Linked DNA regions of Mus musculus. The protein of the gene in region 2 purifies or fractionates together with the protein of the main gene of each other region. This does not show direct contact. Links are inferred from orthologs where the notes say so. Each region holds a gene or a part of one and is shown on either strand. Other genes may lie near its edges.

The links.
Region 1: the proteins of Actr3b (region 2) and Arpc5 purify together in Homo sapiens (affinity purification with mass spectrometry; 5 studies listed by BioGRID and IntAct, counting the BioPlex papers as one, with this or other methods). This does not show direct contact. The link is inferred for Mus musculus from reciprocal best matches to the Homo sapiens genes ACTR3B and ARPC5.
Region 3: the proteins of Actr3b (region 2) and Arpc3 purify together in Homo sapiens (affinity purification with mass spectrometry; 6 studies listed by BioGRID and IntAct, counting the BioPlex papers as one, with this or other methods). This does not show direct contact. The link is inferred for Mus musculus from reciprocal best matches to the Homo sapiens genes ACTR3B and ARPC3.

What each region holds. Positions count from the first base shown.
Region 1 is NC_000067.6:152,766,094-152,776,560, forward strand, and holds Arpc5 (actin-related protein 2/3 complex subunit 5), read left to right. Parts: upstream 1-448; 5' UTR 449-631; coding exon 632-774; intron 775-2,767; coding exon 2,768-2,840; intron 2,841-5,270; coding exon 5,271-5,447; intron 5,448-8,166; coding exon 8,167-8,229; 3' UTR 8,230-9,487; downstream 9,488-10,467. UniProt on the Homo sapiens protein: Component of the Arp2/3 complex, a multiprotein complex that mediates actin polymerization upon stimulation by nucleation-promoting factor (NPF).
Region 2 is NC_000071.6:25,756,205-25,767,377, forward strand, and holds the start of Actr3b (actin-related protein 3B), read left to right. Parts: upstream 1-3,768; 5' UTR 3,769-3,880; coding exon 3,881-3,924; intron 3,925-11,173. UniProt on the Homo sapiens protein: Plays a role in the organization of the actin cytoskeleton.
Region 3 is NC_000071.6:122,391,430-122,402,127, reverse strand, and holds the start of Arpc3 (actin-related protein 2/3 complex subunit 3), read right to left. Parts: upstream 10,251-10,698; 5' UTR 10,137-10,250; coding exon 10,131-10,136; intron 9,590-10,130; exon of another isoform or gene 8,817-9,589; intron 5,312-8,816; coding exon 5,212-5,311; intron 482-5,211; coding exon 405-481; intron 1-404. UniProt on the Homo sapiens protein: Component of the Arp2/3 complex, a multiprotein complex that mediates actin polymerization upon stimulation by nucleation-promoting factor (NPF).

The DNA.
Region 1 (10,467 bases), on a different chromosome or scaffold from region 2:
CACTAGTTCCGAGCTGGGCATCACTTTGCCTCATACTCCTGCAGACTGCAGGGGACTAGGTTCTGCAGCCAGTCCATCGCACCCCACGCGCGAGTCCGGTCACCCACACTTCACACCGGACCCCAACAACCAGCGGCTGGCACCGACAGCGGCGGCGGCAGCAGCACTCCAGGCCACGCTCCCGAGGTGCCCATAGCCTCCAGCCCAAGACCCCCCGCAAGGCAGGACCGCAGAAAAGCGTTTCTATGGGAACGTCCCGGGCATCACGTGATGCTCCCCGGCGACCAATCGCGTCTCCGCGCCGCCTCTGCCAGCTTTCTGTCGACCCGCCGCCCCCGCCTCCTTCTCCAGCCCCGCCCCTTTCCTGCAGCGGGCCCGCGCGTGCGCGGTGCGTCCCGCGCGCTCCCCTGCCGACGCGCGCTCCCGGGGGACGCGGGGGCGGAGCGGGGGCTGAAGGATGGCTGCAAGCAGAGGAGGAGGCCGAGCCCGCTAGCGCGCAGGCCCAGAAGCTTGCAAGCCGCGGCTGCCGGCGACGCCCCAGAGCGGAAGAGGGAAGTGAGTCGGACCGGGCTGGGCTCGCTAAAGGAGAGGCACCGCGGAGGGGCAGGCCAGCGTCGCGTCGCGATCCGGGATGTCGAAGAACACGGTGTCGTCGGCCCGCTTCCGGAAGGTGGACGTGGACGAATATGACGAGAACAAGTTCGTGGACGAGGAGGACGGCGGCGATGGCCAGGCCGGGCCCGACGAGGGCGAGGTGGACTCGTGCCTACGGCAATATCCTTACGCTCGCGGCGGCCGGGGGTTGTGGGGACGCGGGGCCACGCGACCGGCTGTGCCCGGCTCTAGGTGGGGACGGAGGACAGGAGCTCCCGGGGCCAGCAGGCCGCCTGTACCCCGCGGCCGCGCCGGCGAACTTACCGGCGGCGCCCCGATTCCTCAGGTGCGCGGTCCTAAGCGGCCGCGCCCTCCCCGGGGCACCGCTGGTGTCCTAGTGGGCACCTGAGCCAGTCTCTGCCCGGTGGGGACACGGGCGTCCCGCTTGGAGTCTTGCTTTCCTGTCCGGTGTGTGTGGTTGGCGGAGCGGGGATAGTTTATCCCTAGCCAGGAGAGATGGAGCGGTTCGCAAATCGAGGCCCTCGGTACATTCAGCCCCGGGGCTATTTCATCGGCAGCATTGTTTATTAAGAGAGAAGGGCTTTGGCAAGGTGGCATTATAATTCATGAACGAGCCGAAGGGAGTTTTCTTCTCCAAAATTCCCAGTTAAAGCTTGGAACCTTTCACCTGCTAAGAAAAGGCCACTAAAAAAGGGATAGCGAATGCATGCAGAGAATCCCTGGGAATAATATAAGATGAACCCCAGTGAATAAAGCAGAGAATGAGTCGGTTCTATAAATCAACATTGTTTTTCTGAAATTGTTTCCCTTCTAGTTAAAACATGGCTGTCAGTTCCTGGTTCCTTGGTTTGCATATCTGAATATTCATAACCTCGAAATTCATTTGCATCGATCCCTTAGAAAAATAGAATGTTACAAAAATCCAAACTGGAGCTTTAGAAAAATCGTATTCATTAAGTCTGTTCATACAGCTCTCCCCTCATCAATTTTCTACTAGATTATAATGAAGAAAGTGAGCAAAAACAGTGGTAACCACAGCATCAAACGTACATATATGTGCAGTATAGGTTTAACTTTCATTACCATAACTTTCACAGTTGTTACTAATTTGATTATTTGTTAAAATACTTGGGTTTTTTTTTTCTTTAAAAGACCATGCAGGCTTGACAGTAGTTTATTACCTACTGTAGATAATTTTTTATTAGACCCTTTGCACAGAAATGGTGAGCTTATTCTTTGTTTGTTTGGGTTTTTTTTTTTTTTTTTTTTTTTTTTTTTTTTTAGTCTTTATGGTGGATATATGATATTTTATTAAACTAATGTATTTTAGGTAATTTCTGGTGATTCCTACTGCTGTGTTCATTATCAATTCAGTCTACCTTTTTGTCAATCCATTTTAAAATATAAAGATATTGTCTCTGGTTCTAACTAGGAGAGACTTCAGATTGGTCGGGTACTACAGATGGAGGAACCAGTGACTCTGTTTCTCCTTTTAGGGAAATGACTGTCTGTTCTGACAGTCTGATTGGCCTTCCGTTTCCCCTGCTTGCTAACTCACCAGTGCTTTCAGAGACTGAGTAGGTATGGATGGTCCAGCCCAGTTTGAATAACCTGTAGGAAATAAAGTAAGCTGCCACCTACAGGTCGTGCGGGTTACTACATCATCCAGAGCCCTGTTCATATTAAGCTATTCTTCCATTCTGATTGCCAGAATAATCAGCCAGCATTTCAGTTAATACACAGTGTAGTTTCAGTATAAAGTCTAGGGTTGTTTTCCAGCAAGAGTCACACAGACAAGTGGTATACTTTGTTGGTAAACTGCATCATTTGGTGACCTAATAATTCTTAACACATAGTCTTAAGATTTCTTGAATACCCATCTAGACAATTGCGTGTATCTCACTGGAAAGTGTAATCTATTTGACTGATAGAACTGAGGTCAAAACAGTCTTTGCTTTTTTTTTTTAAATCTATTGTTTAATTCCAGTATTTTTACCATTGGTTGACATGTGGGAAACACACCCATGCAGTTTCTAATATCGAACATAATGACCATAGTAACTTTTGTTACTGTGCAGAAAGTCAAGTCAAAAACCAATATTCCTGTAAAGCAGGGGCCATCCTTTTCTGTTCCACCCTTAACCTTCGTTACAGGAAACATGACAGCTGCTCTCCAGGCTGCTCTGAAAAACCCCCCTATTAACACAAAGAGCCAGGCAGTGAAGGTGAGTTTCAGACTACAGCATTAATCTCTTCTGTTTCACTATTAGCAAAGTCCTTTGATGCCCCACAGTCAACATTGTACCTATTTCCTGTCCTTGACACAAGAGTTTACAGTGTGACTTTTGAGACTGAACCGCAGTCTATAACCTGGTCTGAAACTCAGGAGATCTCCTGCCTCCACTGGGATTAAAGGTATATGCCACCACGTCCAGCTTTAAAGGGAGCTTGTGACAAGTAAAAATGTCATGAAAAAAATAGCCCTGAAATGTAGAGTTAGGAGAGTGCCGTGTGGAGTGCAGTAAATTTAAAGGATAGAGCCATCACTTCTGCGTGTGCTTCAGGAGGAATCCACTCAGGTTGGATTTAAATGGGCTTGAAAAATAAATTTGCCAAACACACACAGCTGCTTCTTGATTTCCTAATTTTGTAAATATTAAATATTATAGAAAACAAAGCATGCGTGACCTTAAAAAGGTGATCTCTGTCCTACTTCCTTGGGTCTTATAGTTTTTCCTAATTTTGTAAATATTATAGAAAACAAAGCATGCAAGCTTAAAAAGGTGATCTCCATGCTATTCCTTGGGTCTCAGTCACTGCCTTATATGGTATCGCTGCACACCTAAGGAGTTTCTACAAGGGTTTGTGCTCTTTTAAAAAATAAATAGAATCTTACACTCCAGCTGTGTAGTCATGTACATGATCTTCTTTCCTTAGCAATAGATTATTTCTGTGGCATTTAACTGCTATACACTAGTATGTAACATCTTATATGCAACTGATCCCTGTTATTGCATGTTAGATTTTCTAGTTTTTCCTGCTAAAATTGATCATTTTAAATCTTAATTATTTATGTCAATAAAATTCCCAGAAGAGAAATGCTAGCACAAAAATGACATTTTTTAAAGACTTTTGATACACAAAGCATTGCCAAATCTCTCAGAAGAGCTTTGTAGCTTACATCCCTACATCAGCCCTCCACTGATTCTTAGGGAACTGCTTAGTTGTTTATTGTTTAAAATGCAGGCTAAGCAAAGCCCTGTAAAAGCCTACATCTCAGGAACCTAAGAACCTTAATTGAAGAGTAATATGTAAAAACATAATAATTATTGCAGCCACAAAACTTTATATTGGGGAATTTTTTTTCTTTGCTCCTTAAAAGTTGTTAGGAACATCATTAAATTTTCAATTTTACCCCTTCTGATTTTATGTGGTTTTGTTTGTTTGTTTGTTGATTTTGTTTTTTGGCAGCTTGTGGATAGGAGGTTATAGCTCTAGATGCAAAGATATATAGGGAAATGTCAGTCAGTCTTTAAACTGAAGAGAACGTTGGCGGTACAAACATTATGTAAAACCCCGCCCATAGGAACTCCGAAGACCCCACTGTGTTGAACAGAAGGAGCAGTGAACAGCTGAGAGGGTGGCTTCCGTGTCCCCTCTGCTTAGACAATGCCTAAGGGGACACCTGTGCTTCTGGAACAGGCTCTCCCAGAGGAGAAGTTCAGAGATAAGTATAGGTAAATCTAACGTCTGTAAGTAGGAAAGTTTAAAAAGTTTTACATGGTTTTAAAAGGGATCTTTTAAGAAAATAACCACTCTTGAAAGATCAAACAAGATAGAATTACATAAATCAGTTTTTTTCTTTGGTTAGGAGTTTTTAAGACCAAGAAGTAAATTTAAATGTTATAATAAATTGTTAAATTTTCCCATCAGTCCATCAGTCTATCAGTCCCCAGTTCTGCCTTCAGTTCTATCAAAAAAAATGTGTTCCTGAGCTGGACGTGGGCGCGCACGGACGTGGGCGCACACCCTTAATCCCACAGCTCAGGAGGCAGAAGCAGGCGGGGGTCTGTGGGCTCCAGACCATCCTGTTCTGCAGAGTAACCTCCAGGACAGCCACAGCTACAAGGAGGAACCCGGTCTCTAAAACAGCAAACCAACAAAGAGAGGGGGTTCCCTTCTTACCACCTCGACTCACATGCCAGCCAGAACCAGCCAGTGTTGTTGGAATCACCCCAGTGGGCTTTTGTCTTACTCCTGCCCTCACTGCTGTCCTCCAGACAGTCTTAAAATGGGAAACAGATTGGGTCACTGCTCTTGAATTTCTCCACCGTGTCGTTTCCCAGTAAAAGCCTGAGCCATTACAGTGGCCCGCTGGCCCTCACATGGCCTGTCCTCTCCTGTCTTCTCTCTTTTGCTCCTGCTTCTGCCACCACACAGCTCTGTCACACCAGAATCTTTGGAACACTCTGAACGCTCTGAAACCCACGCTCACAGCACTTGTTCTTCCTTCATCTAATCGCTGGCCATGTTCCCAAGGAGTCTTCTTTCACATCCTCCACGTCAGTCTTGAGATGTCACTCTAGCAGGGCCTTCCTAAGGTTTTGTGCCCAGCATACACATGTCTAAATATTCTGTTCCACATTTGCCCTCAGGACCGTGCAGGCAGCATCGTCTTGAAGGTGCTTATCTCTTTTAAAGCTAATGATATTGAAAAGGCAGTGCAGTCTCTGGACAAGAACGGTGTGGACCTCCTAATGAAGTATATTTATAAAGGCTTTGAGAGCCCATCTGACAACAGCAGTGCTGTGTTGCTCCAGTGGCATGAAAAGGTAAGTTACAATTTACACATCCCTGTAGCTGGCTCCTTTAAAATGGAAGATGCCACCTCTGTCACCTGAGAAGTGACTTGACTGTACACCTTGACTAAAATGAAAAGTTTACATTTGCTTACCAGCCTTGATCTTAAAGGATTCCTTTTTGCACTGCATATTTATTTGCATATACTTAGTACATAAGTGATTATGTACTTGAAATATGAATTCTTTTACATTAATCAAAGGATAGAAATAGCTGGGCAGTGGTGGCATCCACCTTTAATCCCAGCACTTGGCAGAGGCAGGCGGATTTCTGAGTTCGAGGCCTGCCTGGTCTACAGAGTGAGTTCCAGGACAGCCAGGGTTATACAGAGAAACCCTGTCTCAAAAAAACCAAAAAAAAAAAAGGATAGAAATAACCCAAGATAAAGATTAATATATGGTACCTAGAAACAGTGGGGTGTTACTCATCCATGGAAGGGAATGGAGTTTTTGTACATTCTACAATATAGATAAATCCCAGCAACTACATGATGGCTCACAACCATCCGTAATGAGATCTGACACCCTCTTCTGGTGACACTGAAGACAGCTACAGTGTACTTATATATAATAATAAATAAATCTTTAAAACAAAAAAGAAGTATTTATATTTCTACTTGTGTGAAATAGTCTGAAATAGGCAAGCTCAAAGGGATCGAAAGTTATAATAAGTTGCCAAAGGCCATGGAGAAGGAGTATTTGCCTAGCATTCTTGGTTGATCTCATGCACTGTAGTTTTGTATTTCAAAAATTGTTATCGGCATGTATGGCAGTGTATGTCTCTAGAGAGAGGTATCCCAGGCCAAGCTGGTCTACATAATGAATTATATGCTGTACTGGGAGGCTGGTCTCAGGGAGGAAGAGAAAAGGAAATTATTTTTAGTTCTGTATAAGAATTTAGTAGATAGATGAACCAGGTGACTCAGTTGGTTAGAATTTCGTGCCAGCAAACTTGACAACTTGACTCATTCTCTGAGGCCCACATAATGGGCAGAAAGAACTGACTACCTACACACACACACATTCACGTACATTGTACCCACATACATGTACACAAAGCAAGCTTTCATACCTAGCTCTTGTACTGATAAAATACTAACAATAACATAGCCACATCTCTCCATAGAAACGCTGGGATTCCAGGTGTTAACCATTCAATTTGCCTATGATTTTTTTTGTGTACATTGTGGGAATGTAACTCTGTGAGTTAGCACTTTTGATGTGCTGAGCCATCCTTCAGACCCTGAAAATCAGTTCTTTTTAAAAACCCTTGTCTTAAGTCGGAGTGAAAACATGTGTATAAGATAAAACTAAAAGGAAATTTTGTTGTTGAGCCTTAGTTAAATCACTTTATCTACATACACTACCAAAGAGCTATTTGTGAAAGCCTTCCTTGCAGTATTCCGGTATCGTATCCGTCCTAAGTACAGTGCGCCCTCTCGCTGAACGGAACTTGTGGAGTAATTTGTATGGTCATCTTATTTGGACTCTATTTGCAGGCTCTCTCTATTCTTGCTCACATTTCATTTATTTCTCTTTGACAGAGGTGGGTAGTTTTTCAAGACAGGGGCTCTGTGTGTATCTTGGCTGTCCTGGAATTCACTCTGTAGACCAGGCTTGGCCTTGAACTCAGAGCCATTGCCTTTGTCTCGTGGGGTGCTGGGATTAAAGACGTGCACCACCAACACCCAGATTCAGTACTAGAAGGAGAAACTCACTTTGGTGAGGAGAGCAGCACATATGTTGTCTGGTTTTTCCAGATCTCTCCGGGGTTGACTTTCTGAGTACTCCTCAAGTGCATCTGTACCAGTAGGTCTCTAATGCACACTTTGCGGCATCTCAGAGTGACTGCTATAGTGTCCTAACTGATTTGCACCATTCTGTTTTCTACCCAACTGCTGGAAAGTGATCTAAAATCCAAAGGTATCTTGTCATTCATTGACGACCCATTTATTTCACTCTTCCTTAGGCCTCAGCAGTACCAGCCTTTCCCTGAGTGCACCCCACCCTCACACCTCCACACTGGCTTTTGGTATCTGGCTGTCAGCTTCCCTGACATCTCTTGCTGTCCGGCTAGGCATATGCCCTTACTCTGCTTTTGTAGAACTCGAAGATAGCACACAGCACTTCATACACAATACTGAAATATTCTTCTTGTATAACTGTTAACCAAATAAGTACACCAAAATTTCCAACTGCTAATATTTAATCATGACTCCCAGGTATTCAAGTCAGAGATTCCAAGTTAGAGATCAGCTCTTAGCTCTTAAGTAATACCTTCTTACCATGGGGGGAAATCTGCAAACTGAGTGGAAGTTGGGGTAACTGGTCCCAGCCTCAGGTTCTTCCCAACCTCAGTGAGGGAGGGAGATGGCGAATGTCCTGGGTTTATATTTGAACGTTTTAGTTAGAAACATTGTGCTACAGACATCCTAAACATTCTTTAGACAAGGTGTACTAGAAGAGTGACTAGCGTCTGTTTGGAAGTAAGTTCACAGGGGCTGGAGCCTGAGAGGCTGGTCTTTGTTATGTGTTAAGTCCTAGTAGTAAGACTGTCATCAGCTTTATGCTGAGACCGGCCTGGGCCATAGAGGATGCTCAGGAAGAACTTACCAAGTTAATGAGTTCGGGGTTCTGCCTAACCTTAGACTGACTTCCCTTTGACCTCTTCTGTGTATTTGGTTTGTTTTAGGCCCTTGCTGCTGGAGGAGTGGGGTCCATTGTTCGAGTTTTGACTGCAAGGAAAACCGTGTAGTCCAGCTGGAACTGGACACCGTTCACAGAAGTGGGAGTTGCTGGTATAAAGACCAAAACAACCAAATGGCACCGCTGCCCTGTGGGTAGCATCTGTTTCTCTCAGCTTTGCCTTCTTGCTTCCTTTTTCATATCTGTAAAGAAGAAAATTACATATCAGTTTCCTTTAATGAAAATTGAAATAATGTGGAGAAAATTTTGTCTCAGTGGGGATGTTTGACCCTTTCATAACCATGTCAATAATATGTATCACATTCTGTAATTTATATTCAAGTTTGATTGTGCAATTTCTAACTCTGTTGCCTGGTTTAAGGGTTTTACTTTATTTTTAACCAATACTGAGAGATGTGATCAAAGTTGAGGCCAGTTTCCTAACTCATTGCTGGTCAGGAAGTGATCTTTATTTTTAAAAATGAGAGACTGGCAGCTATTAACATTGCAAAACTGGACCACACTTCCCTTATTTAAGCAAAATGTGTTTCCAGGGCAAGTAGTGGGTGAGCCCTACTACCAGTTTCCAGCCTTCTTTCCGCTTGCCTCCAGATGATGCTATAAGTGTAAGTGTGCTACTTCCTGTTAGCATCCAACTTTCATGGCCTCTCAATCTCTTTGTGGTGACCCAGGGTCCGGAGCAAGGAGTCTTGCTCTATATAAATGTATTTACACAATATAAGCGCCTCTTTGGCACAAACATCCCATTTCCTTCTGGTAATAAGGCTGCCTGGGGAAACAGTCCCAAGTCAGAGACAGGCCTCCAGCAGCCTCTGGATGAAATACTTTCATCAGAAATAAGGTAGCTGCCTTAGCCATTACACAAGTGTTCACTGGAACATTTCCCATGATTTCCCGAGGACGTCTTCAGTGTTCTTCAGGTAATGGGGATCTCAGAAGATTTGGTTCTGATCCAAAGACACAGTCTGTGTTTCAGCTCAGTGTTTTTAAGAAAGAAAAATGCCACATAGTAAAAGAAAAAAAGTGTTTACTTCGTTGGACAAACCAAATTGATTCTCAAAAAATGACCGGTGCTTGTAAAAAGTTATTACAAAGTAGTTCCGAAACCAACCACCTGAATGTGCGTGGCCGAGAGGGAATCAGCCTGCTTGTCTTTCCCTAAGATGCCAACTCCAGAGTCACTGACTGAGGTGAGAACCAGCGCAGAAACTCTATAAACTGCTGTTTTTGATACCTGCTCTTTTTGTTTTGTTCTGTTTTGTAAAATTATGATAAACTTCAGAAAATAAAATGTCAGTGTTGAATAATTTTTTTCTTAATTGAATACTTGTAACTCTCCAGTTAGTTAAGGAGAAGGGCATTCAGTGTAGCTGTCTGTGTGGAAGAGTATGAAGCCACGTGATGAGAGCAGGTAGGGAGAAGAGCCACTAAGGATGCCAGAGCACTGCTGAGGCCTTGGTGTGACTCTATCCCTCTGGGTCTTAGCAGGACGGACCAGTGACCTAGAGGACCAAATTCCTGTAGCTGTCAAAGGCACTCCCAGCTTCCAAGCTCCCCTTGTTACACCTCAGACCTGTTTCTCGCGCCTGCGTGCTCAGCAACTCTGTTTTTCAACTGCCCCTGACTGATTCCTGCTTTCCTCGGGTTAGGACCGTGGCTTAAGTGAAGCTAAGTGGTTCCTATTGGAAGTCGTCAAGCAGTTTAGCACAGCAACCACCTTAGAAACAAGAGGGAGCATGCTTACACTGTTCCCTAAAGTCCCGGGACAAATGGGGATCCATAGTTTAGATCACAGGAATGGATATAGTAAGGTCTTTCAGCCTGGGCTCTGCTAAGTGGATGGTGAAAATGGCCAAGCAGCACAGCCCAGGAACTGAATCAAGGTGGGTGCCTCCTGGAGACAGTGGGCTCAACAAGTGTGTCTGTGGGTCGTGGTAACTAAGACCACCCAGGTGCTTTGGCACACAAGTGCTTCCATGTCGGCCATGTGGGAGCTGGTGTATGTGGAGCCTGAGGTCACTGTCAGGTGTCTTTCAGTTGCATTTCCACCTTATTTTTGAGAGTCACTGAACCTGGAGCTTACCAGTGACTTGACTGACTGGCCAGCAAACGCTGGGGATCCTCTTTCGGCCTCCGTGCTGAGATTACAGACACCACCATGTCTGACCTAGGTTCTAGCTGCCTGAACTTAGGTCTCCTGCTTGTCTCAGCAAACCCTTCGCCTTATCTCAATTTTTAGTCCAGACTGGACTCAAACAGTAGTAGCCCTTCCTCAGCCTGGATTACA
Region 2 (11,173 bases):
GAACACAGCCCCATCTACACTTGACATTGGCTTCTTGAATGATGTAAGTATATGTATTAAGCCACTCCATTTGTGGTAATTTCTTTTGGCCCATTCACTAGAAAAAAAGGCATTGGTCAGTGCAGTGGTTCTCAACCTGTATGTTGTGACGCCTTTTGGGGTTGAATGACTCTTTCACAGGGATCACCTAAGACCTTCAGAAAACATTACAATTCATAACAGTAGCAAAATTACAGTTCTGAAGTAGCAATGAAAAGAATGTCATGTGTAGGAAGCCAACTCTAAGATGGCGCCGGTTTCCGGTGTGCCGTTGTCATAAACAACATCAGCGCAGGTGTAAGCCCGAGTCTGGCACCAACCCCTCCCGAGCAGGTGCATGCAAATTAGGTGCCGGCCAACTGACCAATCCCAGGGGGCCACGAAGCCTCTCCCTGTGCTGGGGTGCATATAAGCAGACTTCCCTGGGTCCCCGTAGCAGCATCGAGGCGATCCTGCAATAAAGGCTGTTGAGAAGAATCCGACCGTGTTGTGTCTTCCTTGCCGGCTGAGGTGGGGCGACAGTCATGGTTTGGGGTCACCATAGCACCAGGAACTGTATTAAAGGGTCATATCGTTAGGAAGTTTGAGGTCCATTGGGCTAGTGAAACAAAAGGGGAAACAGATGGGAACATTGCTTCTTCAGAGTCTGGTCTCTATCCCTCTTGGAAGGGGATTTATCATTACAGTTTTGCATTGTGGAATTTCAGTAGTGATGAGTAGTGATGAGGCGATGCCTGAGGACCAAGGCCAGGGTGCAGGGTCTGCTGGGGCAGAATGCCTAGGTTCATGAGGATTCCACAGAATTGCTGATGGGTCTCAGTTACAAAATGAGATAACATAATTTGCTCATTCTAAGGTGTCTAGATACGTTTGTGTTCTACTGGCTGTCCACATCTATTTTATTTTTGGATTATTTTTTTTTGAGAGAGGGCCTAACCCTGTAGCTTAGGATGGCTTTGGATGTTTTATCCTTTCTCACAAGCCTTCCAAGTGAGGGGAAAACAGGCACAATCATAGCACAAAAACATCTTTGATAATCTTCAGGGCTAGTGGTGTCTAGAGGAAATTGCTGAAGTCTGAAAATCTTTTTCCTATCAGTGACTGGAGCGGCCATCAGTCCCAGTAAGTCCTATGCAGAGTGGACAGTCCATGGAAAGGCACACTGTGTACTGGGCAGCTTCAGGTTTCTGTAACGCTTCCTCCTTGTAGAGTGAACAGGACATTTGGGCTCTGGGGTTATCCTGGCTTTCCGGGTTTCCTCTCTCAGAAGTACACACAGCTCATATTCCTCTTCTATCTATACTCTGGGTTTCAGTTTAGACTTCATGGCTTTGGAAAACATCTACTTGATCCAAAAGTCGAGGTCAGGGGTGCTCGAATGGCTTTCTGGACATCTTGCATTTCTGCACCTAGCATTTGTACTACAATCGCCTGATCACTGGTGGCAGACTAGAGTCTAGGGCAGCAGTTCTCAACTGTGGGTTGAGACCCCTTTGGTGGGGGCCACATATCAGATGTCCTGCATATCAGATGTTTATATTAGGATTTACAACAGTGGCAACACTACAGCTATGAAGTAGCAATGAATTGATTTTATGGTTGGGGGCGTGGCAAGATGAGGATCTGTATTAAAGGGTCACAGCATTAGAAATGTTTGAGAACCACTGTTCTAGGGCCAGATCCTGTGAACAACTTGCTTACTGTTTGTATTTTACTTTTGTTGCTTTAACAAAACACCTGGCAAAGGCAATATCAAGGAAGTGTTAATTGGCTTGCAGTTTGAGCATGGCATCCTTGCTATGGCAAAAGAGGTATGGGACCCCTGGCCACACTGTGCTTGCAGTCAGCAAAGATGAGTGCCCCTTCTCAGCCAACCTCCTCTCCCCTATTTTCCCTGGGGCCACAACCACATTTAGGGTGGGTCTTCCACCTCAATTAACACAATGTGGAAACTCCCTCACAGGCATGTTTGCTTCTAGGTGTTCTAGGTCCTGTTGACTTGACATCATTATTAATCATCACTCACACTGTTAAAGCATGACCAATATAATAAGTGTACATTAAGTAAATGATGCTAAAGTACAGGGCATTGCCAACAGCCTGTAGTGGGGTCTTTGTTGCTTTGGTCCAGGCTTCAAAAACAGACCGACTGACAGACAATCGAAATGGGCAGGGCATTGGTAACATGCACGGAAGGAAAGATATCTTGCTTCTAGTTCTGGGTCCCATTTGGGAGCTTCCATCCTCTTTATCTGTCTTCTGTTTCTCTCTCTAGTTCCCCTGAATATTGTTTTAGGTTTAGGATTATTTGCTCCCTTGCATGCAGGAAAAAAGAAAGAAAGAAAGAATTACCCAAGGGCTGGCAAGATGGCTCAACCAGTATGAGCACTGACTGCTTTTCCAAAGGTCCCGAGTTCAAATCCCAGCAACCACATGGTGGCTCACAACCACCCGTAATGAGATCTGACACCTTCTTCTGGTGTGTCTGAAGACAGCTACAGTGTACTTACATATAATAAATAAATAAATCTTAAAAAAAAAAAGAATTACCCAAGAATGGTCAACTAATCTAATTCTTCTCCTGTGGAAAATCCACAATGCTTTAAGTCCCAGTAAAGACCAAGTGAATTAATACATCTCTAGAAAGTTCCTTTGGCATCACAGTCAAGAACTTTAGAGGCTAACATTTAGGGTGCAAGTGGGGTTTCCAGTAGGTAGGTGTTTTCCTTCTTAAGTCTCCTTTCCACAATGATGCTGGATAATCACCCTATCTTTGATATTAGAAAATATTTCCTAGTAATATTGATGTGGCATTGACTAAGGTCATTTATTCCTTAAGCCTAATTATGCATATGTTGATTTTCTCCCAGGATACATTATGCAGTGCTCTATCATAGAAAGTCATAAGTATTTTTCTACAGTGAAGGTTATTTATTCGTTCAACATTCAGGTGATTTTTATCGGAGCACCAAATGTGTTAAGCATGAAGCCCTGCCCTAGGAGAACCTATAATTCAGGAGAGGTGAACATCTACTAATAAGTACCCAAACTAGCTTTAAGTGTTAGAAATAAAATCAAGAGATTGTTGGGGTAGAGAATAAAGTGAACATTGAAGTGAGAATTAAGAGGAGAAAGGGGCTGGAGAGATGGCTCAGCGAAGAGCACTTGCTGCTCTTCCGGGAGACCCAATTCAGATTCCTGGTGCCCATTCACAGCTGTCTATAACTTCAGCTGCATGGGATCCTAAGCCTCTGGCTTCCAAGAGCACCTGCTCTTACATACATGCACACACCAGCAGACATAGCGACAGATAGACACACAGCCAATAATCTTTAAAAAAAATTGCAGCTAGATAAGCCGGCAGTGGTGGGGCACACCTTTGATCCCAGCACTAGGGAGGCAGAGGCAAGTGGGGCTAGCCTGAACTACCTACCGAAAGAGTTCCAGGGCAGTATGGGCTACACAGAGAAACCCTGTTTCGAAAACAAAACATAACAAAACAAAATTGCAATTTGTAAAAAGGAGAGAAGAGAAAGAATTCAGGCCTCGCAAATGGGGTCATAGTCACCTTATGCATGTTAAAAATAGACTCCAATCTCTTCCACTGCAGGATAGATGCATAGGCTAAAACGCCGGGCTGCCAGCACTAAGGATGGCTGACAAGAGGGCGGAGCGTGCGCGTCCCCGATTGGCCAACTGTAGAGTGACGTCACGAGGCAGAGCCTCTGGGCTCCCGGCAGCTCCTGGGTGGGGAGCGGCGCTGCCTGCGACCCGGCACCTTGGCACTGGGCACCCAGGGGCACGCTGGGGCTGGTGGGGACGGAGCGCCTCGTGGCCGAGCATGGCGGGCTCGCTGCCTCCCTGCGTGGTTGACTGCGGCACCGGGTAAGAGCCGCGCCCCACGCGCCCACTCACGCTTCGCTGGGCGTCCTGGAGCCATTTCCCCGCGGGGTCAGACGGCAGGAGGAGCGCGGAGGGATGGTGCACGGAGGGATGGTGTGCTGAGGGACAGAGCTCAGTCTGAGGGGTTGGGGAGTTTGAGGGATAGAGCTTAGGTGGGGTGGGAGCTGGGGGACGGAGCTCAATCTGAGGGCTTAGAGAGTTAAGGGATGTGGCTCTGAGAAGATGGGGTGCTGAGGGCATGAGGCTGCGGGGTTACCGGGTGGGCTGCACCTTGCCGGGATGTTGCTGCAGATACTTTCTCTGCAGGGCTTGCACCTGAGAGCTCAGAGTAGTTCCTCTCCCCCCCATCCCCGGGGTGCTTGTCACCTGTCCTCATCCTGTGCACTCACGCGCGCGCGCGTGTCACCTTTCCCTACTGATGTACCAACCACCTACTCGTGGAGATGTTTACACGTGCCATGTCAACTTGACACCCAGTCCCCTTTCCCACTCTGCTCTTTTCCACTCTGAAATGGCACAGCCTAGCCCAGCTCCTGCTTTGGTTTGCATACACTTATCTTTGCTCTTAAAACACACACACACACACACACACACACACACACACACACACACACATTAAAAAAAGACTAACATTTTGAAAAAAAAACAGCCCTCTCCTTTTTGGGGAAGTAGATAACTCTTTTCTTTTTTGAAGATGTTAATTTTTCAGAAGAGACCTTAAGAATGGCTTATGCTGTCAGGCTTAGCTAATTTTAGGAAGGTGGCAGCCAAACCTCCAACCTGGGAGTTTGGGAGTACCTGCTGGCATTGCTGACAAAGTACTTCATAAATAGCTTGCAAATAAATTTAGCCTCTTAAAATGTTTTTCAAGGGATGGTAATCCTTTGTCACCGAATAGTCTGTGGCATGTTCTCTTGCAATTCTTTCCTGTAGAAAAATATACTTGGTTTGGTTTCCTTGACAACCTTGTGGGGGTGTCTTCTAATTTGCTACAGTCCATCTCCTACTGATGTGTCTTTCCTTTTGTTGCTCCGGAACCAGCAGTGGTTACAGACTGGAAAACATGTTCTATTTCTGCTAATTTTTCTTTTGGAAATAAACGTTATAGAGAAGTTTTGTTGCCCTGTATTTGAGAAGTTGCTGACTTCCCTAGACTTGCTCAAATCAGTATGGCTCTTGTGGACCATTCCCCCATGTGTTGGCTCCCCTTACTGTCTCACTCTATCTGCCACTCCCTTCAGTCTGGAAGTGTCAGCAATGAGGGCAATATGTAAACATTGTTTTTATGTTAATGTCTGCATGTGAGAACTTTGGCTTTGTGTTGCCTAAACTGCTGAGACTTGAAGCTCTCTCTGCGCAGTGTTAACAGTAAAGCAGCACTCCCTGGGCCATCTGTGCTGTATTTCTTATTAGTAAGCTGACACCGTATCCATTGTTCTTGCTATAATGATCTAAAGAGTGCTCAGTCTTGACCTTTTGGGGTCAGTGACTGATGTCACCTTCACCTTCAGTAGATCGTCATGGCCCAAAGCTGTGCTTCAGGCTAGCATCTTTAGGCTGTCAGAGGCTCTGGACTCAGTGACAGGGACCTGGGGTTTCCTGTGGGTGTTTTCTGCCACTGAAGCCCCTGTGGCTATCACGAGTCCCCAGTGTTCAGTGTGTGAGCAGAAGATGACTGCATAGCCTAAGCGTTCCAGCTTCCATGTATTAGTGATTCTTGCATTTCTTGTTTTGGATTGAGTTTTACCTCAGAATAGAACTAAATGTAAAATGCAGCTAAAAATAACAAGGACTGAGGAACATAATAGACTTGGGAGATCTCATTTTAGACTGAGTTTTACCTTAGAATAGAACAGTGCAGCTAAAAATAGCCAGGATTGAGGAACAGAATACACTTGGGAGACTCATCACGTGGGCACTACTGATGAGATGGGCAGGTTTTTGTTTTGTTTTGTGTTGGTGGTGGTAGTAGACGTAGAACCTGGGGATCTTGTTAAGTGGAGCCTCTACCACTGAATTGCACCCTGAGTTCCAGTCTTGTCTGTCAGTGTGCCCTCTCTCTGCTTCCCTGTCTCACTGTCTGTCTTTCTCTCTCTGATACCCACCCCCTCTTAAATAGAGTCTTCTTGTTGTATAACCCAAGCTTGTACTGAACTTGGAGAAATCCTCCTGCCTCAGCCTCCTAAGCATTAGGATTGCAGTTGTGTGCCCACATGCTCATCTGGCCTGTGTTTTATAGTAAATACATTTCTTTTGTGACCTCAAATCCGATGAACCCCGAGACCAGATGAGTGTACACAAGTATGCTGGGGACAAGATAGAAACAGACAAAGGTATCTGTGAGACCCACAATTAAGTTTCAGCTTTTTAAAGGATGAATAGGCTGCCGAGCTCCCAGAGAAAACGCCACCAATTCAGTCTCACGTCTCACCCAAATGTTTAAAGTAGTTTTACATAGTCAAACTGACTTTGAAGCAATTCCAGGTCCCTGAGAACCGGGAGAGAACAAACTCCAGGCTGCATCCCTCCAGTTTCAGCAGCTTTGCACACTGTGTCCTCTGGACTCCTTAATGTGCCGCTCTTACTTTTCTGAGCTGCTTAAAAGAAGGTTCTCGGCACCTCCCTCTTACAGGTCAGTGTCTGCCTTCTGAGCGAGAGCAGGGATTCACATGATCACAGACCAGTTATTCAAGTCAGAGATGTTAACATGGATGCTGCAGTGCTGTGCTGTCTGCCATCTGCACTTGTGAGCAGTTTCGTTTCTTGTCTTTTTTGGAGTCTAATCCTGTCTAGCATTGCCTCATTATATTTGGTGGTCATGTTTTTAAGGGGATGGAGTGAGGTCCTGTTATGTAACCCCTGCTTCAGCCTCTTGACTATTGCATGTCCTCCCATGCCTGGTCGCTATGTTATTTATAGCTCATGTCTTCTGGAAGAGTTCCTTAGTCTTTTTTTTTTTTTTTTGTCTTTCAAGATATATCCTTTTGATAGTTATATATATAACAAGGATATAACAATATATATATATATTGCCCCTCGATTTTGTCTGTCTGGTGTTTCTGGTAGATAGAGGTTGTGCAATTTTGTAAGGGTTGCCATAGAATCTGTTGCTCTTCCCTTGTGCATTTCATCAAAAAGCCTAGCACAGCATCTACCTCATTCCTTTAAAAGTGTGTTTGTTTGTTTGTTTGTTTGTGGAGACAGGGTTTTTTTGTGTAGCCCTTGTGGGTCTGAGGCCTCTCTCTCTCTCTGGGTGTCCAGACCCGCTGCACACTGGGCTGGAAAGATGAAGCAGAGTCCAGATGGGGCAGGATCCTGGTTGGCTCAGAGCTAGTGGTGGGAGTTGGGAGAGAGAAGGCCTCCTTTCTTCAGGGATCCTAGTGCCATAACTCTCTTCGGCCAAGGCCTTCTCTGATGGTCTTCAATGAACCAGCTCTTTGAGACAGTCTCAGCTTGTGCATATTTATTTGGAGTGGGTTTGTAACCATACACTTTATTCAGGAGAACCAAGGGTTATATAGGTTTGGGGAAGAGGATAAGAGTATCCAGGCAAAGGCCACAAAGGCTTAAGGTTCTGAGATGCCTCATCAACATGGGGAGGCATTCCAGGAATCTTAGGTGCAGTCTTCATGGCAGTCCTTAGCTGTGGGATCCAGGATCCTCCAGTGAAGAGGAAGCCGGGCTAACAAAGGAAGACTACCATTTGCATCAAGCTCAGGGTGCTCTAGTAATGTCAGACTTTGACCTTAGGAGCAGGGTTTCTCAATAGCTTTGGCTATTTGGCTGTCTTAGAACTCACTCTTTAGACCAGGCTGGCCCAGAACTCAGAGATCCTCCTGCCTCTGCCTCCCAAGTGCTCAGATTAAAGGTGTGTGACACCAAAGGCCAACTTAAAACATTTTTAAAATTAGTATGTATTAACTATACATAACCATCAGTTCTATGATGACATTTTCACATGTGTATAGAATGCATTTCAGGACTGAGGAGGTAGCTCAGCCATTAAAGGCTAGGCTCAGCACCAGAGAATCAAGAGTTCAGCTTCCAAAATGTGGCACACCTCTCTTGTCCCCTTCTCACTCCCTCCTGCTAACTCCTTCGTCTTTTCAAATAGCCCTACTTCTCCGTGCATGCGTCTGTGGTGGTGGAGGGGGCAGTGAGTTCCATAAAGGTTGAAGCACGGACACCTTACTAGTGGCTACACCACTAAAGAAAGTGGCCCTCCCCACTAATTCTGTAGAAATCCTCAGAGGAGTGGGCTGCTGAACCCGTTCCTTCCAGGAGAAGAAGGCAACTGGTCCAGTTCTGTGTAGTTCTTGTGCAGGGAATCATAGGTGGTATGAGCTCAAGGGTACCACTGCTATGCCATGCCTGGAATTCAAAGACAGACTCAGCACCATTCCATTCCCTGCTGGCTCACTCTTAATTTTTTTTTTAAAAAAAGATTTATTTATTTTTTGATGTAAGTACACTGTTGCTGTCTTCAGACACTAGAAAAGGTCATCAGATCTCATTACAGATGGTTGTGAGCCATCATGTGGTTGCTGGGAATTGAACTCAGGTCCTCTGGAAAAGCAGTCAGTGCCCTAAATCACTAGCTCTCCAGCCCCCCACCCCCAACATTATGTCCACTTCTGTTTCTGACTTGTTCCCTGAGCCGTGGAGCGGGCAACATAGATTCCCAGTTGTGGTTGGTCATTTAGTAGTCATTTATTCTAAGAATTTGGACAGGCTCTGTCCAAGCGACTGGAGACCACTGTAACAAAAGAAACTTCTGTGGGCACCAGTGTCTGACACAGACAAGACCTGTGATGTCTCCAGCAGGAAGGCCTTCGCTCTGGCGGATATCCAGCATGCTGTGATTGCCTGTATTGCTTAGTGAAGCTCAGGGGCCTTCCTGACCAACACATGGGGAGCTAGCTTACCCCTGGCCCTCAGATTTTCATTCAGTAACTTAGGGCTCCTGGGAGTAGCTTCATCTTCTCATGTGAGCTACCTTTGCTCAAACTCCTTTGAAATTATTTTTTTAATTTTAAAAAAGATTTGGTTCTTTTTATTATGTGTGCAGGTGTTTTGTCTGCCTCTGTGTGTGTGCACCATGTGCGTGCTGTGGCGATCAGAGGAGGGGGATGGCTTCTCTGGAACCAGTTACAGATGCTTGTTAGCCTCCATGTGGCTGCTGAGAACTGAAGTCTGATCCTCTGGTAGAGCAGCTAGTGCTCTTAACCAATGAGCCATTTCTCCAGCCCCAACTTTTGTATATTTTTTGAGACAGGATTTCATTATGTACACCTAGCTGATGTGGAACTCACTATATAGCCTGGCTTTCTCTGTAACTCATAAAGATCCACCTGCCACTCGATCCCAGTGCTGAGATCATAAGGCAAATGCTGCCATACCCAGCTCATTTTAAAATTTATTTATCAAGTATTAGATTTTCTTAGGGCATTTTCATACATCATTAGTTCTGGGTTGGACCTCTCCCTCCTCCCCTATGTTAGCCCTCCCCTCCTCCCCTATGTTAGCCCTCCCCTCCTCCCCTATGTTAGCCCTCCCCTCCTCCCCTATGTTAGCCCTCTCCCTCCTCCCCTATGTTAGCCCTCTCCCTCCTCCCCTATGTTAGCCCTCTCCCTCCTCCCCTATGTTAGCCCTCCCCCTCCTCCCCTATGTCAGCCCTCTCCCTCCTCCCCTATGTTAGCCCTCCCCCTCCTCCCCTATGTTAGCCCTCTCCCTCCTCCCCTATGTTAGCCCTCCCCTCCTCCCCTATGTTAGCCCTCTCCCTCCTCCCCTATGTTAGCCCTCTCCCTCCTCCCCTATGTTAGCCCTCCCCTCCTCCCCTATGTTAGCCCTCTCCCTCCTCCCCTATGTTAGCCCTCTCCCTCCTCCCCTATGTTAGCCCTCTCCCTCCTCCCCTATGTTAGCCCTCCCCTCCTCCTCTATGGTTGGCTCTCTCTCATCTCCCTTATCTCTCTACCTCTCTTTTCTTGATTAGACCCGTAAACATTCTTCTTCTACGTGTGTATCACATGGGTTCTACTGCCCGCCTCACCAAATAATCTTTCCTCCTTTCTCATGGGTCCTATATACACTCCCATGTAATACATATGTACAAATTAGAAGCTAGGACTTACATTGTAGAGCTCGTGTGTTATTTGTCATTCTGTGCCTGGATTGCTCCACTTCATATAATATTTTTCAATCCCATACATTATAAAGCAATTTTTCTTTTTCTTTATGGTTGACAAAAGTTCCATATGTGTACCACCTTTCTTTGTCTATTCATTAGTTGATGGTTATCTAGGCTGTTTTTCTTAGCTTGTGAATACAGTGGCAATAAACATAAATGTGCAAGAATCCCCGTGATAAGATTCGGACTTTTTTGGGCACATAACCAGGGGTGGTATAGCTAGGTCATGGAAGTCTGTGAACCTCCACACTGATTTTATGGCGGCTGTGTAAGTTTACACTCCCACTAGTAATGAATAAGGGTTCTCTCCTCGCATCCTCGCTGACACTTGTTATCATGTTTTCTCATTAATAGCCATTCTAACTGGACTGAGATGGACTCTCTTCTAGACCTTTAAATTTTATGTGTATGCATATATGTATGTGTAGTTTTGCCTGCACATATGTGTGTGTACCACATGTGTGAAGTGTCTGTGGAGGCCAGCAGAGGGCTTTGGATCCCATGGAATGGAGTTATAGATGATTTTGGGCCACCATGTGGTTGCTGGGAACCAAACCTGGGTCCTCTTCGAGGTGGGCAGGTGCTCTTACCTTCAGCGTGATGGCTCCAGCCTTGTTCTGTATGAAATTTAGTGTGGTACTGGAATGTGTTAGAGGTTGTGTTGACTTCAGAGATTGCTGTGACGTTCGTCCTTTCAGTGAGAGTAGGGGTCTTTCTCCATGTTCTGTTGTCTTCCTCAGTTTTTTTTTCTCTTCATTGTTGAGGACTAGGTGTATTCCCAGGATTTTATTATTATTTTTGTGGTCATGGTGAGTGGAATTATTTCCCTGCTTTCATTCTCAGTAGTTTTGTCGCTGGCCTATAGGAAAGCTGTTGATTTTTGTATGATAATTTTGCATTGTGCCACTTTGCTGAAAGTGTTTATCAGCTCTGTGAGTTTTCTGATGGAGTCTTTAGGGTCTCAGAGACCCTTTTATTTCCTTCTCTTAGCATTCTAGCTAAGGCATCAAGCACTGTCTGCAGTAGGAGTGGAGAGAGTGGAAC
Region 3 (10,698 bases), about 97 Mb from region 2:
CCTTCTTCTACGCAGACACACACACACACACACACACATTAAATTTTTCTTGTTTGACTTTTTGGTTTTTCAAGACAAGGTTTCTTTGTGTAGCCCTGGCTATCCTGAAACTAACTCTGTAGACCAGGCTGGTCCTGTACTCACATAGATCCACCTGTGTGGATGCCTCCTGAGTGTTGGGATTAAATGTGTGTGCCACCACACCCAGCCTACAATAAATAATCTGAAATAAAGAAAGCAAGATAGCAAGAAAGCAAGAAAGGAAGAGAAACTATAACACAGCACCCTCCTCAGGGTCTCGTCTCAAATCCTACAGTCACCCTCACCATTTAGCCCTCACAGCAACCTGACTTCCAGGTAGAATTTTATCCCCTTCTGAAAACTAAGCATTCCTTGGAAGTTACCTTAATTTCATAGTTCTTGAAGAAGACATTGGCCTTGAAGTAGTAGATGGCTTCATCCACAATGTCCGTGTCTTTGGCTAAGCGGGAGACAAGAGAAGGCAGAGACCATTACCAAAGGCAAACCTCACACCCAGAGGCGGCGAGCACAGGCAACCAAGCCTACCGCACAAGATTGAGACCTGGATAAAGGAAACCAAGGAAGGCGCTGCAGGTGCTCTGCTGGGCTCAGTTCCTGGGGATCTAGCGCCCTCTGCTGGGCTCCCAGGGAACCGTGCAGCACACATTCCGGCAGTGGTGGTACCCACTTTTGTTCCCAGCACTCTGGAGGAAGAGGCAGGTAGATCCATTGGTTGGAGACCACCCTGGTCTACAAGGCGAGTTCCAAGAGTTCAAAGAAAGCCAGAGCTTCACAAAGAAACCCTGTCTTCAAAACCAAAACCAAACCAACTCAAAAAACCCAAGGAAACAAAACCCTTACATGTGTGTCTGTACGTATGCCACATGTGCACAGATACCCACAGAGGTCAGAGGGCACCAGGTCCCTTGGAGCCGGAGTTACAGGTGCTTGTGAGGCCAATGTAGGTCCTCTGGAGGAGCAGGAAGTGCTCTTAACCTCTGAGCCTTCCCTTTAGCCCGAGCACAGTGTAACCAAGTGTTGATATAATTTTATTCGAGCCCACGCACTGTCATCTCAGGAGAAATGCTCAAATTATTTAGGGACATCGGGGACATTTCCTTCTTTTTATGAAAACCATGGCTTAAATCCAGCAGGTTCTAAGTTGCCACTAACTGAGGGAAGCCAGAGCACTCTGTGACAGACGCACATCTCGTTACACAATCTCTTTGGCAGTCTGTCCTCTCTTTTTCATTTTGAAAGGTCAGACTTCCCGGGTTTGACGTGCAGCAGCTGGCTGCATCAGCACCACATGACAGCCTTGGCCTGGGCTACCACTCCCTCACAGCCTCGCTGGTGCTTCTCTGAGGGCCGCGTCAGCGTCAGAACTTTAACTCTACCTTCCTGTCCTTAGCGTCCCGCCCCTAAGGAAAGGAAACTTCTCCAGAGCACCTAAGGGAGACGGCGGAGGAGACCTACACAGAGCTTGGCACACAGAGGCACGCAAAGATACATGCACAGCAGGAAAGGATTTTTCTAGAGCCGAGGCTCGAACCCAGGGCCTCCCACATGCTACAGACAAACCCTATCTCAGACATCTGCTCCAACAGTTCCAGCCCCTCTGGGACGAGGGACAGTCACCCTCACGTGTTCTGTTTCTCCCTGGAGGACTCAGCTTGAAGGTGGCTAGGATGTTCTCCATTCTGAGTTGGCTGTATCTTCTAGAGCAATGTGTTATCTGTAACCGTGTGACAGGGCTCACTGGCCAGCAACTTTTAAGTACTGCAGGTCTCCTCAAGGCTGTCTTTCCCCACCTGCTCCTTCTTCTCAGAAGCAGTGAATGGCCAGATCTACTCAATTTACTTACATTTCAACCAGTGTTGCAAACAAATTCATTTAAGAGGAAGTCAAGTCAAATAACCTGGCAGAAAAAGGAAGGGGAAGGGGAAGGGGACACAGGTGGGAATTGTAACTGTGTGCTTGGAGACCAGGCATGGAACTCGGGCCAGACATTTGCAGGGTCTGGGCTCTGTGTCTGCAACAACAGAAAGGATGACGCCGTTGGCGGAACATCTCAAGACTTGTCAGTGTTAGAAAAAAATCTTCGGGAACAGTGAAAAATTGCCTCAGAAATGGAATGGGGGATCCGGAGTGCGGCTGAGGGTAGAGTGGACACTTCGTCTTGATGGCTACAAACAATAATTAGTAAGGGTGTATAATCCCAAACTTCTCAGACTAGACTGGGAAACCAAGCTGTGAGCACATATCAAAGAAATCACAATTCAGCTTTAATCCCGGCACTCGGGAGGCAGAGGCAGGCAGCTCTGGTGTGGGGCCAGCCTGGTCTACAGTGCGAGTTCCAGGACAGCGAGGACTACACAGAGAAACCCTGTCTAAAACACAAACACCCCCCAACAAAAACTAAAACAAAACAAAAACCCCCCACAAACAAGACCACCAGCTACCAATCAATAAATGGGTGAATGAGCAGACTCTTTTCAAAATAAGAGATACAAATGGCCAGGAACTATTTTTAAAAGTGTTCAACATTCCTGATCTTAGGGATACACAAGTTTATACTGCTCGGAGACACTACCTTACCCGAGTCACAAGGCCAATCAATTATCAGGAGGTGTACCGGTCAGCCAAGGCTAGACAGCAAGACCCTAACTTTAGTCACAGGCTGTAGAGAAGGCTCAGTGGTTAAGGGCACTGACTGCTTTTCAGAGGGCCCGGTTTCAGTTTCCAGCACCTACATTGTGGCTCACAACCATCTGAAACACCAGCTTTAGGAATTCCAATGCCCTCTTTGGCTTCTGTGGACACCAAGCACAAATATGGTACATATACATCCTGACGGGCAAACATTCACACACACAAAATAAAATAAATTCTCTTGTATTTTTGATTTTTTGAAATAGGTTTTCTCTGTGTAGCCCTGGCTTTCCTGGAACTGACTTTGTAAACCAGGAGCCTCAAACTCACAGAGATTCATCAGCCCCTGCCTCTGCCTCTTGAGTGCTGGGATGAAAGGTGTGCCCTACAACTGTCCAACTTAAGATATATACATACATACATACATACATACATATATATATTAAAATCAAAAAACTAAGCATGCTTTTTAAAAACCTGACAACAAATGTTAGAGAGGATGTGGGGGAAAGGGAAGCCTGACCGGCTGGTAGTCAAAGTGCAAATTAACATGGCCATTGTGGAGATCAGTTTGAAGGGTTCTCAGATGATTAAAAATAGACTTCCCATATGATCCAGCTATTTTACTCCTGGGCACATACCCAAGGCCTCCTGTCCTGCCACAGTCTTATCTACACATCTGCATTTATCGCTACTTTATTTCGGTAGCAAAGACAAGGAACCCAGCTAGTTGTCCACCAACAGAAGAACAGACAATGAAAATGTAGTTCCATACAAAACGGAGCATCACTAGGCTGTGAAGGTAAGTGAAATCAGGAGGGTTTTTATCTTTTTTAGAGATTTATTTATTTTATGTGCATTGGTGTATTGCTGCATGTGTGTCTGCGTGAGGGCGTCAGATTCCCGGGAACTGGAGTTACAGACAGCTGTAAGCTGCCATGTGGGTGCTGGGACTTGAACCCTGGCCCCCTGGGAGAGCAGCCAGTGTGCTAAACCACTGAGCCATCTCTCCAGCCCCCTGATAACAAAATCATGAGATGAGCAGGAAAGAGGATGAACATGCAACCATCAAGGTGATCCAAACCCCAAACAGAAAAGAACGCACGATCTCCCCCGTGCGAGGATCCCAGCCTGTAACGCCCTCATGCAAGCAGGTGGAAGGGTGTGCACAGGATAACATCTATAAAGAAGACCAAGAACCAGGGGCGTCAGAGAGAGGAAGGACAGACAACGGGCTCGAGGACTCCAGGACATAAAGCTACTTTTTCCATTTTCAACTCTGCCCTTTGTAAAAGTGTGAAACACCAGGCGAAGCCCCATGGCCTCAGAATGGCCGCTCTAACCACACAGAAGCTGACAGAGCTCGGGTGGCTTCCTTAAACCATCTGGTTTTTTGTTCTTGTTTTAAAAGCAAAATTTAAAAAAAAAAAAAAGAAAGAAAGAAAGCAAAACAAGCCACCACCAAAACCAAACAAGTTAAATACGGAACAAACAACAAAAACCACTAAGAAAGCAAAGAAATAAAATTCAGAAAAACAAAAGCAAGCACAGACATAAACTGTTTCAAAGCACTCAGGAGTCTCACTGGGGAAGCAGGCAGGAGGAGCACCACGAATTGAGGCTAGAGTGGTTTGACCTCCAGGCCCACCAGGGTTTTAGAGAGAGATTCCCTTCTCACACATCCGAGAAAGGTCTAACACTGGGGTATGGTGAGAATCTGACAGAGGGCTGTGGAGATGGCTCAGCGGGTAAGCGCGCTTGCAGAGAGAGCTCCGTCACCGGAGTTAGGACCCTTGGGACTCATGTAAGAACCAGGTGTCACCTCTAACTGTGTGCTGTGGCTCCCGTGGGCCCTCACACACAAGTCAGAATCAAAAGCAAGTGACTTTTTTTTTTAAAGGTGACCAAAGAAGTCATAGCTTTGGTGGGGGAAAGGTTCATTTTCCTTGTTTTTGGAGACAGGTTTCACCCTTGCTTAGGTAGGTCTTGAACTACCAGACTCCAGCCACCTCCTTATCTCAGCCTCCGAGGTACTGCCTATGCCCACACAATGCTGTCAGAAGAAGGCTGGGGACCTGCCATTCAGTTAGTCTGAAATAACTGACAGTGCCTGTGGGGACTGTGGCCAGAATTCAACACAATTCCTTTTTTTTTTTTTTTTTTGAGACAGAGTTTCAGTAGCCCAGGTTGGCCTGGAGCTAGCTGAGAACGACTTTGAACTCCAGATCTTCCGGCCGCCTCCTCCTAAGTGCTAGGATTTCAGGTGTGTACCACATCCCCTGGCTCTCAATGGAACTTGGGGGTCTCATGCAGGCCAAGCCATGTCTCTACCAACGGGGCCACGCCCCACAGCCCACATTTCCTTTCAGCTCACGTAAACATCCTGGAGGAGTTTGAACCAGTTTCCTGTGGAGCGCAACAGGCTGCTCCTGGTCAAGTGTGACAGGAAGCCAAGGAAGAGTGACTCAAGCTAAGCTCTTCCCTGCTCTCAAGTCAGCAGGTCTGCTTGGAACCCAACAAAAGAACCCAGAGACTTACTCTCGCGAGGGGCGGGTCCTTTGAACTGGCTTCGGAGGGGCAACAGGGCCATGTTACCGATGAGCTTGGTGTCCGGGTCCATGAGAGAAGAGTGGTATGCCTGCAGGGGCCAGCCCAGGGAAGAGAGAAAACAAGTGTCACCAGGAGACAAGGCGAGGACCAACTGTGGGAGAAAAGGGCTGGCGTCGGCTTACGGGGAGCCAGCGCCTGACTCAAGAGAACCAACTGGTGGATTCTGAGACGTTCTGTCAGCTGGTGGATAAGCGTAGCCCTCCGCTCACACTAAACTAGACACGGAAAACAGAGGTAGGCAGTACCTCAAACCCCATCATAAAAAAAAAATATATATATATATCAGAGCCGGGCATGGTGGTACACGCCTTTAATCCCAGCACTTGGGAGGCAGAGGCAGGTGGATTTCTGAGTTCGAGGCCAACCTGGTCTACAGAGTGCGTTCCAGGACAGCCAGTGCTACACAGAGGAACCCTGTCTCGAAAAACCAAAAAATAAAAAAATTACACTTTACCACTGTCTTCTACTAATTTTACTTCATTTTATTAATGTTCTCCTTCTTGTTTTGTTTTGTCAAGACAGGGTCTCACTATTCAGTACCACTATGCCTGTCTTTATTATTTATATTCTTTTCTAAAAAATAATTTATTTGTATTTTGTGTAATTGGTGTTTTGCCTGCATGCATGTTTGTGTGAGGGTGTGGGATCCCTTGGAACAGGGTGCTGGGAGTTGAACCTGGACTTCCTGAAAGAGCAGTGTACTGGCTAGTTTTGTGTCAACTTGACACAACTGGTGTTATCACAGAGAAAGGAGCTTCAGTTGGGGAAATGCCTCCATGAGATCCAGCTGTGGGGCATTTTCTCAATTAGTGATCAAGGGGGAAAGGCCCCTTGTGGATGGGACCATCTCTGGGCTGGTAGTCTTGGTTTTATAAGAGAGCAGGCTGAGTAAGCCAGGGGAAGCAAGCCTGTAAAGAACATCTCTCCATGGCTTCTGCATCAGCTCCTGCTTCCTGACCTGTTTGAATTCCAGTCCTGACTTTCTTTGGTGATGAACAGCAATGTGGAAGAGTAAGCTGAATAAACCTTTTCCTCCCCAACTGTTTCTTGGTCATGATGTTTGTGCAGGAATAGAAACCCTGACTAAGACAGAGCAGCTAGCGCTCTTAACTGCTGAGCCATCTCTCCTGTCCCGTCAGGCCCTGCCCATGTTCTTTAGATCTTCATATTCTCATTCTCTCTCTCTCTCTCTCTCTCTCTCTCTCTCTCTCTCTCTCTCTCACTCACACACACACACACACACACACAGAGCTTTTTTTTGAGACCAGGTTCTTTTTTTTTCCTATTAGTATCGTGTGTGAGAGTGTGTGTGAGTGTGTGTTCATGAATCTGGGTGCTCATGTGTGCACATGTCAGAGGTCATCATCAGGTGACCTCCTCAGTTGCTTCTCCACCTTTATATTCAGGACAGGGGCTGTCATTGAACCTGAAGCTCACCACCTGGACAGACAGGCCGCCAGCAAGCCCCACAGATCCTCCTGTCTTTGCCTCTCCAGCACTAGGCTTATAGACAGATGCCACCACATCTGGCCACTTTCGTGAAGTCTGGGACAGAACTCAAGTGCTCGTGCTTGAGTGGCAAGTGTTTCACTGACTGAATGCCCCCAACGTCAGCTTTTTGAGACAGGCTCTCACTACTCCAAGCAGCCCTGGCTGACCTGGGACTCCCTAGGTAGACCAAGCTGACCTCAAGCTTACAAAGATCCGCCTGCCTGTGCCTCCTGGGATTGCATCCTTAGGCTAGACGTGCATTATGGAAGGATGCGCTTCCTCCAGTTCTGCACTCCGTGACATGATGCAAGCTGAAACACTCTACTACAGAGACCACACAAAACAGGTTTCCCACCCTCCAGCAAACCAGGACCCAAGGCCTGGCTTTGAAATCTGCCACTTCCTGTCCTTATGACCACAGGTCGATTCTTCCTGGAACCTGTTTCCCCACCCCCACCCCCTTCAACCACAACAGGTAGCCCAGGCTGGCCTCTCACTTACTATGCAGGTAGCCCAGGCTGGCCTCTCACTTACTATGCAGGTAGCCCAGGCTGGCCTCTCACTTACTATGCAGGTTAGCCCAGGCTGGCCTCTCACTTACTATGCAGGTTAGCCCAGGCTGGCCTCTCACTTACTTCACAGGGGACGATGACTTTGAACTTCTTACGCTCCTGCCTCTGTCTCCCATTGCTGGGATGATGGATCTAGATAACCACAGTACTGGCGAGTAAACCTAGTGCTTCAGACATGACAGGCGAATGCTCTACCAACTCAACTCTACTCCAGTTCCCACCAGTCTGCTTCTAAACTTATAAATGAGCAAGATACACCACACCTTTGGTGAGTGCGTATGAGCTAAAGGAGAGGGAACTGTGTGGATGAACAATCTCAAATGCTGGTCCTATGATTTCGAACTCAGAAATCTGCCTGCCTCTGCCTCCCAAGTGCTGAGATTAAATGTGCATGCTACCAACTGCTCAGCGTGATTTTTTTTTTAAAGATTAAAAAATATCTTATAGCCGGGCGTGGTGGCGCATGCCTTTAATCCCAGCACTCGGAGGCAGAGGCAGGTGGATTTCTGAGTTCGAGGCCAGCCTGGTCTACAGAGTGAGTTCCTGGACAGCCAGGGCTACACAGAGAAACCCTGTCTCAAAAAAACAAAAACAAAACAAAACAAAAAATATATTATGTGTGTGCACTATATCTGTGGACGGGTATTTCTGTGTGTATGCAGTACCCACAGAGTCCAGCAGATGGTGCTGGGGTCCCTGGAGCTGGACTTATAGGCAGCTGGCACCTGCTGGATGTGGATGCTGGGGACAAAACTCCAGTGCTCTTAAAGGGTAGTTTGAGAATGCTGGGAATTTCCCTCCATTAATGGTAAACAACCCTTCAAAAGCCAATATTCTATAAATCTGCCCCACCTACTAAAAACTTTCATGCCACATCATTTTTAGAAAACTGTATGCCTACATACTAGAAGAGGGCATCAGATCCGATTATAGGTAGTAAATTGCCCTGTGGGTGCTAGTAACTGAACTCAAGACCTCTGGAAGACAGTGTCATCCGGAGATGCGGGGGCTCATTTGGACAGTAACTCTGGGTCTTCACATATACTAACTATAGGAATCATGAATCTTCCAAAGCCAAACACGGTGATGCCGGACGGGCTTGTCATCCTGGCTACCTAGGAGGCTGAGGCAGGAGGATCACAACTACAAGGCCAGTCTGGGCAATTTTATAAGACCCCTTTTCAAAAGTAAAAAAGATGGGGGAATACTGCTCAGTGGTAGAGCATCTATGTAGCATGCCATGAGGCCCTGGGGTCAATTCCCCACTGCTACTCAAACACATGCACACTGTTCAAAGTTAGGCTTGCTCTCCTACTCATTATAAATAAGCCTTATTTATGCCAGCCTCTTGCCCACATCCCCGGGTCCCCTGTTCTCCCAATCCCTGTCACCAGGTACTGGTTTTTGTTTTTAGTTTTATTTTGCACATGACCATGCATGTGTACATGTGTGTGTGTGTGTGTGTGTGTGTGTGTGTAGTGTTCATGTTCACGTGTGTGCATATGTGTGCATGTAGGTATGTATGCTCATATCCACAGGTGGAGGCCATAGGTCTGTTTCTTAACTGCTTTCCACTTTATTTTTGAGACAAGGAGCCTCAGGGAACTCTACACATCCCCAGCTCCGAAACTGCAGACACGCTTTGCATGCCCTCCCCCCGCCCCTTCTGTTTTACTTGGGTGCTAAGCATCCAGACTCAGGTCCTCTCATTTGTACCACTGAGACACCTCCTCAGCCCCTACTATCTCTCTCTATATATATATTTATTTCCTGTGACATCGTCTTTCATTGAACCCAGAACTTGCTTATTTTTGGCTGGGCTGGCTGGCCAATAAGCCAGAAGATCTGCCTGTCCTTTGCCTCCCCAGAGCTGGGGTCACAGGCATGAGCTGCTGTACCTTGTGACCCCACCTCCTGCATGCAAGCCTCTTTTTTTTTTTTTTTCTTCCCCCATTTCTTGGGAGACAGGCTTTGCAGTTCTGTAGCCCAGGATGGCCTAGAACTCACTACATAGTCCACATTGGCCTGAACTTTGCCATCCTCCTGCCTCGGTATTGGGATGAGCGATAACTGAGCGATAGGGGTAGGCTAACTGCCATCTATCTGTTTTCGTCACAGCAGTTGTTAAGATAGGAAACTACTTCCTATGTGCATTTGCATGGTTACTGTCTACCCGTTAAACTGTGAGCTCCTTGAGTGGCCCTTAGTCGCTGCTGTCAACAATGCTGGCTTCACAGCGAGAGGTCAGTAACACTGGTTCAGTGTGGGTGCACGCTATTCAAGCGTCCCTTCGCTAAGCTGCAATCGGCATCAATTTCCTCCCACTCGGATGCACACGAAAAAGGAAACCAGCGCTGGCTCGGTGGTGGTCAGGGAGTCGGGTGGGAGTCAGAGCAGGGAGACGGAGGAAGGGGTCCATCAGGGAAGTGAGGTCTGACAGGTGACTAGGTAGCAGGCCGATCCCACTCCCTGGGGTGGAGGAGGAAGTGGAAATGACAAGGGGGAAATTTAAAAAAAAAAAAAAAAAAAAGGAGAAGCTGGACCTTAGACTTAAAAATAAATTAAAAGCCAGCCATCGTTCTTAGGTTCGAGGCTCTAGGGTGGGATCTGGGAACACGGCAGGGTTAGGGGGGAAGCGGCGGGGCAGGCGAGCCGGTGTTGGAGGCAAAGGCTGGAGATCAGGGCGGACGCTTCCTCTCTCCCCGGCCTTATGACACAGATCTCCTGCCACCCCTCGGACCCTCGCCCCGCTCGGCTCCCCGCCCCTGGGGCTCGAATGCTTACCGGCATCTTGACGGTGTCCGGATTCGATCCAGAGAAGCCGAACTCAGAAAGCGTTTCCGACGACCGAGCCTGGGTGGAGTGGGCGGAAGTAAGCCGGAAGAGGCGGGCGGAAGGAATAAACGCACTTCCGGTGACTTGCTCCGGCTGCGCTGACCGCAAGTGACGCCAGGGGGCGCGTCAGCGTGAGGCGATGACCGTGGCGCATGCATAAAGCACGTTCAGAATAAAAGGCTGGATTTTGAAATTGAAGACTCCCTCGCAAGTGGTTAATAATCAGCTCCCGGTTTTGTTTTTTGGGTTTTTTTTCTCATTTCCCGGCTTCAGCTTCAAATCCAGTACCACTCAGTCGCCTGATTTACCCTTCTGCTATGTCTAGTTTTTTACTTTTTTTTTTTTTTTTTTGGTTTTTCGAGACAGGGTTTCTCTGTGTAGCCCTGGCTGTCCTGGAACTCACTCTGTAGACCAGGCTGGCCTCTAACTCAGAAATCCGCCTGCCTCTGCCTCCCGAGTGCCGGGATTAAAGGCGTGCGCCACCACACCTGGCTTAGTTTTGTACTTTTACCACAAT